Saccharomyces cerevisiae S288C: one gene and its partner. The gene in region 1 interacts genetically with each later gene. Each region holds a gene or a part of one and is shown on either strand. Other genes may lie near its edges. The genes, in order: PDC5 and ATP5.

Region 1 (4,232 bases):
GGAACAGAGATAGATAATATCTCTCTTGCTTGTTCGGAGTTCCATTCATCTCTATATTTTTAGTATGCAGCTTTCGCGTTATAAATTAAACAAAAAACCACTAAGTGACAAAGAACTACGCATATTAATAGTATACAACAAAAACAAAGGAAAAAAAGAAATGAAATCAATTGGCGAAGCAGAACAAGTTTTCTTTTCCCTACAATGATTGTAAATTCATATATGGTGCTCTACTGGTGATTTTTCATCGAACAAAAACCCGTTTTTAGGAAGGACAGAGGTCCATATCAATATAATTAAGAAGGCATGTTGGCCTCTGTTTCTTAATATATTCTAAATAAGATGTAAGGCCTTGTAATTCAGTTTGTTCACAAAATTAAAAACTGTTTAATGTTTTTTGTTTTGTTGTAGTATTCGAGCATTAAGGATAAAAAAAGCTTGTGAATAAAAATCTTTCGCTAAAAATCAATATAAGAAAATGGTAAGCAGCTGAAAGATAATAAGGTATGGTTAAAGATCACACCACCCTCTTCAATTAGCTAAGATCATAGCTAAAGGTACAAAACCGAATACGAAAGTAAATAAATTAATCAGCATAAAATTAAATAATAAACCACCTAAAATATTAGAAGCTAATCTTTAACCTGGAAGACAGGACAGAAAAGTAATTACAAGAACATATGTGAAAAAAAATAGTTGATATTTTAAACCAAATCAGAAATTTATTATACTAAAACTATATCTATGCCAATTATTTACCTAAACATCTATAACCTTCAAAAGTAAAAAAATACACAAACGTTGAATCATGAGTTTTATGTTAATTAGCTTATTGTTTAGCGTTAGTAGCGGCAGTCAATTGAGCTTGTTTAACCAAGTTTTGTGGAGCATCAAAGACTGGCAACATAACTTCAATCATTCTAATCTTAGAGTTGTCTTGGAAGTCCTTGTCTTGAGTCAACTTTTCCCATTCACCAGTGGTAGCAACTCTGTGGGTTTCGTAGTTTCTAGCACCAAAAGTTGGCAATAAGGCCAAGTGGTCCCAACCTTGAATTTCATTATATTCGGCATGAGGACCGTGAATCAATTTTTCAATGGTGTAACCGTTGTTATTCAAGACAAAAATGTATGGCTTCAAACCCCATCTAATCATGGTAGAGATTTCTTGAACAGTCAATTGTAGAGAACCGTCACCAATGAATAAAATAACTCTCTTCTTTGGATCAAGTTCTTCAGCGGCCATAGTAGCACCCAATAGAGCGCCGACTGTGAAACCAATGGAACCCCACAAGACTTGGACGATAGCGTATACATCTGTTGGGAAAGTAGTTTGGTTAATACCGAAGGCGGAAGTACCGGTTTCAGCAATAACAATATCACCTTCTCTCAAGAAGTTACCCAAATGGTTCCACATCCATTCTTGCTTCATTGGAGTGTTAGCTGGAGTAGACTTGGTAATTGGAACTCTAGCTGGGACAGCAACAGGTTTGTAGTCCTTGACGACTTCTGGAATAGCATCCAACAATTTTTGCAAGGCAAATTTCATTTGAACACCTGGGAAGGTGGCGTTTCTGATCTTGATGTGGTCAGAGTGGAATTCAACGATATTTTTGGTCTTGTAGGAGTAAGAGAAAGAACCGGTATTGAAATCAGACAACAAAGCACCGATAGACAATATCAAATCAGCAGATTCTACAGCCTTCTTAACTTCTGGTCTAGACAAGGTACCAACGTAAACACCACCGTATCTTGGGTGTTGTTCGTCAATAGCACCCTTACCCATTGGGGTGACGTAAACTGGGAATTGAGTCAAGTCCATCAACTTCTTAGTTTCAGCCTTGACATCATGTCTAGAAGCACAAGCATCAGCCAAGATAACTGGGTTCTTAGCATCCTTGATCAATTCAACAACAGTTCTAACAACTTCAGCTTCAGCTTCAGCGTCGTTTGGCTTCAAAGACAAGTCAATTGGAGTTTCCAATAACTTGGCTGGGACGTTCAAGTCAACCAAGTTAGCTGGCAAACCCAAGTAGACTGGTCTTTGGGTAGTGTAGGTGGTTCTGATACATCTGTCAATTTCAGCTGGAGCGTTAGCAATATCAGTGATCATGGCAGTGGTTTCAGAAATGTTGGCAGACATTCTGTGGAAAACAGTGAAGTCACCGTTACCCAAGGTATGATGCAACAACAATTGCTTAGCTTGAGAAGAGATGGATGGAACACCAACAACGTGCAAAACACCGACATGTTCAGCGTAAGAACCGGCAATACCATTCAAAGCAGACAATTCACCAACACCGAAGGTGGTAATAATACAGGACATACCCTTGATACGAGCGTAACCATCAGCAGCATAGGCAGCGTTCAATTCGTTAGCGTTACCAGCCCATCTCATACCTTTGACTTCATAAAGCTTATCCAAAAGAGACAAGTTAAAGTCACCTGGCAAACCGAAGACGGTGTTACAGTTGACTTGGCTCAATCTTTCAAATAAATATTTACCTAAGGTTATTTCAGACATTTTGTTCTTCTTGTTATTGTATTGTGTTGTTCTCTTTGAGATTGATTATGTGAAATAAGTGTAATAAGAAAGAGAGGAAAGGACTTACTACAGTATATTGATCGAGAATGGCAGCTCTTATATACAAGTTCTTTTAGCAAGCGCCGCTGCATTATTCAAGTCTCATCATATGAAATTTCTTTCGAGAGATTGTCATAATCAAAAAATTGCATAATGCATTTCTTGCAACACATTTTCTGATATAATCTTACCTTAATGCAGGTTTACGTATTAGTTTTTCTAAAAGAAACGCGACCTTTGGATATGGAGGCTTTTCCCATAAACGCATGTAGTATGCATTTACGATGAGAATCAATTTTTTTCCAAGGGGCGCAAAACGCATAAACGCATAAAGTATGCATCAGAAGGATTCTCACCTGGTTGCAACCATACAGGTGTTAGCGACAGTAATAGAAAAAAAATTAAAATAATGGTGTTATTGTTATTTGCTTTATTTCCTTGGCCTTTGTTGAAGGAATTCGTATACGTATTACAAATAACTAGTATCGAGGAACTTGAAAGAGCTGAAATTTTTGCATTCTTCTTCGGTGATTATGCCTAAGCCAATGAGGTCGCCCCAAAAGACCGCAATCTTGTCACGACCATAAGCCATATAATCGAACGTGTCAATGCTGACGCCAGCTTCAGGCTCGTCGTCATTTTCAACAAAGTCTTCTTCAGGGGATTCGGGTTCAGTCTTGATGATATATTTTTTTCCATTGGGTCCAATTTCTTCTCTAGTGATGGCAGTGGAGGCTTCTTTTTTCTCTAATTTACCACTTTGTAGGATGGCCCAGAGCGACCAAAATAGTTGTACAGTGGGTCTCCATTGAATGATTGACTTATAGAGTCTTTGAACCTCTTCATCTATGGGTTCCTTAGCACCACCCCTTAGATGCGAAACATAAGAGTATAAGAAATTCAAAACCTGTTCTTTATCGGGATATCTATCAGCGTGGCACTGATGTGGGGCCTTAGCATTGTTGTAATCATACATCCACTCGGAAAGATGATTCGCTAAATCATATGCGGCGGGATTGGCACCTGCATATTCAAAATCAATGACGACCAATTTGGAATCTTGGCTTTGCTCCTGCTTTGGCGGGTTGATTATATCATCTACAATGACATTGGAGCTCGAAGGAAATAAGGAACTTGATTGGGAAGTCAATGATGTAGACGAAGGTGCAGTGTATAGGCTCGGTGTGTTCATCACAGGAGCAGTGAAAAGTAAATTGCCGTATTGGGCATCATTATGGCAGAATATAAGATTTTTGTTGACTTGCTCTATACCCTGTTCTTGAGAAATAAGCCACTTGTGATATCTATCGACAATATCCATAAACTTGGACCAATTCTCACATAATAAAGAGTTTTCAATGTTTTTAGGATCCCCCACCCATTGGTCGACTTTCTCAATCGTGCGCAACCACTGGTTAATCTTTTGCCAACAAGCCGACCCGTTCTTCCTTTCTGAACTCAAGAGAGGAACACCTACATGTAACTCCTTCATTCTCCTTGCAATCCTTTGAGAGTTCTTCCAGTTTCTAATGTCGTCTTTTGTTAAAGTCTTAGAATTCTCCAGAAACTGCTCAAATCTACCGTTTACAAAACAGCCGTAAAGGGAAGGACCTATATTTTTCAATGAAAGCCTAGCCAAAATCTGCAATTC
Region 2 (3,327 bases), on another chromosome or scaffold:
ATTCTGGTAGCCTGCCATTAGCACAGTCTTTTTGGAAATACAAAGGCGTTATGTTTCTCCTGTTCAACTTTGTTCTTTTCATCAAACGGGACATATCGGATAATTGGTTTTCGACTTGTACATCTGCAGGTAAGTTGATAGCTTTGAATTTGTTAGATGATAAAGCAGCGTTACCTGATGCAGAAGAAACTTTGGTAGACCACTTGTTTAATACGGCAGTCCTGTACTCTTTTAGTTCTGAGTCTAAGCTATTAGTTTCTTGGTAAAGCTCTTTGAGAGATCTTTTTTTGGACAATTTATGCTTCGCCACCTCTTCATTTTGAGTGATATGATCGCCAAGTTGGAATTTTATTCTGAAATTTATCAACCGATTGAATAAATTATTGAACAGTTTTTCGTTTTCCTTCAGCAAACGCTTTGTTTCCTCTGAATCATCCATTTTAGCCTCTTCCCAGGACTCTGTAGTTAATGGGAGCTTATTTGCTGCAATTACAGCTTTTTGTAGTTTTATTCTCAAATCAATGATGTTGTCAAATAATTTTGTCTGTTGTAAAATGGAATAACCCTTCGAAGCATCTCTTTGAACTGATTGAGACAGTTTGTTAATAGCTTGTTTAGTCTCTTGTTGAATTAGTTTCGATAGTGCATGCCTTTTCTGTTGAGCCTCCTCCGTTTCACCGCCGTCCGCGTCTGATTCTTCTTCATCAATCTCTACTTCTTCATCTTCAGAATCTGTCCTGAATGAAAGAGCATCTTCCTCTTTTTCTTCTTCCTCTTCTTCTTCTTCTTCTTCGTCCTCATTCTCGGAAACTTCTTCATATAATGCTTGTCTTGAACCTTTAACACCTGTATATTTTGGATCGTTTAGTTCTAAACCTTTTTCTGCTCTTAACTTAGACTTTTCCACCTCCAAATAGTGCGCCTTCTTGGTTTCTTCTGTGTTGCTATTTCCATAGTCGCTTAAATCACTTTCTCCATTTTTTTCATTGTGTTGAAATAAAGATGCATTTTCCTCATCTTCAATATCGAAGTCTTTATTGACCGGTTTAATGGCGATATCGGAAATTTGATCCGCTAGTGATTTTTCCATCTTTTTTTGCTCTATATTTATTGGTAACAGTGCTTATTGTTACTCAATGTATGGTACGCTGCATACCTATCAAGATGCGACTACATATATACAATTATCTCATCTCATCGCGTATTGAAAAATTTTCCATCTTCTAATTTTTCAGAACCCATAAATTCGGGTAACGATCAGTGGAAAAAACTTAAATCCGCAGTAATAGGCTTGCAAAGGACCAAAGACAGCATATGCAGCAGTTAAGAAATCTAAGAATGCATTGTATATTAGAGTAGTATATGGAAAAGCTCGGACTGGGAGCCGTAAAATCTCTTTCCCGTAAGATCTGGCTGCAAACCTGGTCTACATAAATGTAGTACATTATAAGGGACTACCAAGAAATACGAAGCGCTCAGATATCTCTTAAAGTTCATTTTTTTGCCGGAATAATCTTGGTTTAGTAACTTATAAAACTACTTACGTCCAATAAATCGTTATATTTTATGCCGTCGTCATAAAGTGGACACTTTCGAGAGACGGTGCTGGCCAATAAGATGCTGATATTTGAAATATCATTTACCCGGGCCCGGGTGGGAAAAACAAGGAATTAAAGATAATGAAGTGATCTTTTGGCGAGATAGTAAAACTTTCAATTATCTAGGAACAATTTCAAACGCCAATTGTTAACTTTGTGTACAGTATTTCTAGTTTTTATCTCATTGAAAACAAAATTCAGTCAACTTGGAAATTTAAGCAGGCTACTGTGGCATTGAGATATTTTTCCGCAGAGTAAGAACCGATTAGCAAGTTACCGCATTATTTTTAAACCGTGGACAATCATGTTTAATAGAGTCTTTACCAGGTCATTTGCATCAAGCTTAAGAGCTGCTGCTTCCAAAGCTGCTGCTCCCCCACCGGTGAGATTGTTCGGTGTTGAGGGCACTTACGCAACAGCTTTATATCAGGCCGCTGCAAAGAACTCCTCTATTGATGCTGCCTTTCAATCTTTGCAAAAAGTTGAAAGCACAGTCAAAAAGAATCCAAAATTAGGTCACTTATTACTGAATCCTGCATTGTCATTGAAGGACAGAAATTCTGTCATTGATGCCATCGTGGAGACTCACAAGAATTTGGATGGTTATGTCGTTAACCTATTGAAGGTTCTTTCCGAAAATAACAGACTGGGATGTTTTGAAAAAATTGCGTCTGACTTTGGCGTTTTAAACGATGCTCACAACGGGTTACTTAAAGGTACAGTGACTAGTGCTGAACCATTGGATCCTAAATCTTTCAAGAGGATTGAAAAAGCTTTGAGCGCCTCCAAATTGGTGGGGCAAGGTAAATCTTTGAAGCTGGAAAACGTGGTTAAGCCAGAGATTAAGGGTGGTTTGATTGTAGAACTTGGTGACAAGACTGTTGACTTAAGCATTTCTACAAAGATTCAAAAACTGAATAAGGTCTTAGAGGACAGCATTTAACGTTAATAATATAGTTGGATATGCTCAACTCGTTTGATGTTACTTTCTTTGCCTCCCTCCTAATTTTTGATTCTGTTCAAATATATATTCTTTTCCGTGAATTTTTCCTAAACATCAAAATTACGTACATATACGAATAAATAAGAAACCCCTCTAAAAAGTGAATTTTTTTGTTCGAGACAACCATTTTAATCATATATATGTTCGTGTATCCAGGCAAACTTATATTAATCGCAAAAAAAAAAATTATAAGTGTATATATGGAATAAACATAAAAAATAATAAAAGAAGAAAAAAAAAAATAATGAAGAATTCTCATCAGTTTTCGAAGATTTCAAGAAAGTCCGAAGAACATTTAAGACCTTTTTGATAATTCAAGATGTGCATGCACAATAATAACCATTTCATAGTTGAATTTTGATGTATTCTTTCGTTACAAATCAAATATATAGTCAAAGTCACGCCTATACACTTAATAATATGTCTTGATGTATATAAATGGATAATAAATACAAACGTGGGAAGTCGGAGACATTGCCTTTACCCAGCAATTGAACGGGAGGTATGCAAAAGGGTTATTTCTCTTTCTTTACTTCATTTTCAGCAGCATTCATAGCTTTGAAGTTTTTGAGTTTCTCCTTCTTTTCCAATTCTCTCTCTTGCAAAAACTCTTTGTACTTGTCGATGGTGACACGTCTTTGCTTCTTTTGATATTCTTCAAACCCTTTAAAGTTAGTTTGGAACAAATTGTCCCAGAAAGTGAAAAATGGTTGAGCAAAGTTCGTC

What was found.
Region 2: mutations in PDC5 (region 1) and ATP5 together harm fitness more than expected from each alone (negative genetic interaction), as found in Saccharomyces cerevisiae (2 studies listed by BioGRID).

The regions. Positions count from the first base shown.
Region 1 is NC_001144.5:409,012-413,243, reverse strand, and holds PDC5 (indolepyruvate decarboxylase 5), read right to left. Parts: upstream 2,522-4,232; coding exon 830-2,521; downstream 1-829. Other genes in the region: bifunctional choline kinase/ethanolamine kinase CKI1, read right to left, coding at 3,051-4,232. UniProt on the Saccharomyces cerevisiae protein: Second most abundant of three pyruvate decarboxylases (PDC1, PDC5, PDC6) implicated in the nonoxidative conversion of pyruvate to acetaldehyde and carbon dioxide during alcoholic fermentation.
Region 2 is NC_001136.10:1,057,390-1,060,716, reverse strand, and holds ATP5 (F1F0 ATP synthase subunit 5), read left to right. Parts: upstream 1-1,902; coding exon 1,903-2,541; downstream 2,542-3,327. Other genes in the region: rRNA-processing protein BFR2, read right to left, coding at 1-1,090; SUR2 (sphingosine hydroxylase), read right to left, coding at 3,117-3,327. UniProt on the Saccharomyces cerevisiae protein: Mitochondrial membrane ATP synthase (F(1)F(0) ATP synthase or Complex V) produces ATP from ADP in the presence of a proton gradient across the membrane which is generated by electron transport complexes of the respiratory chain.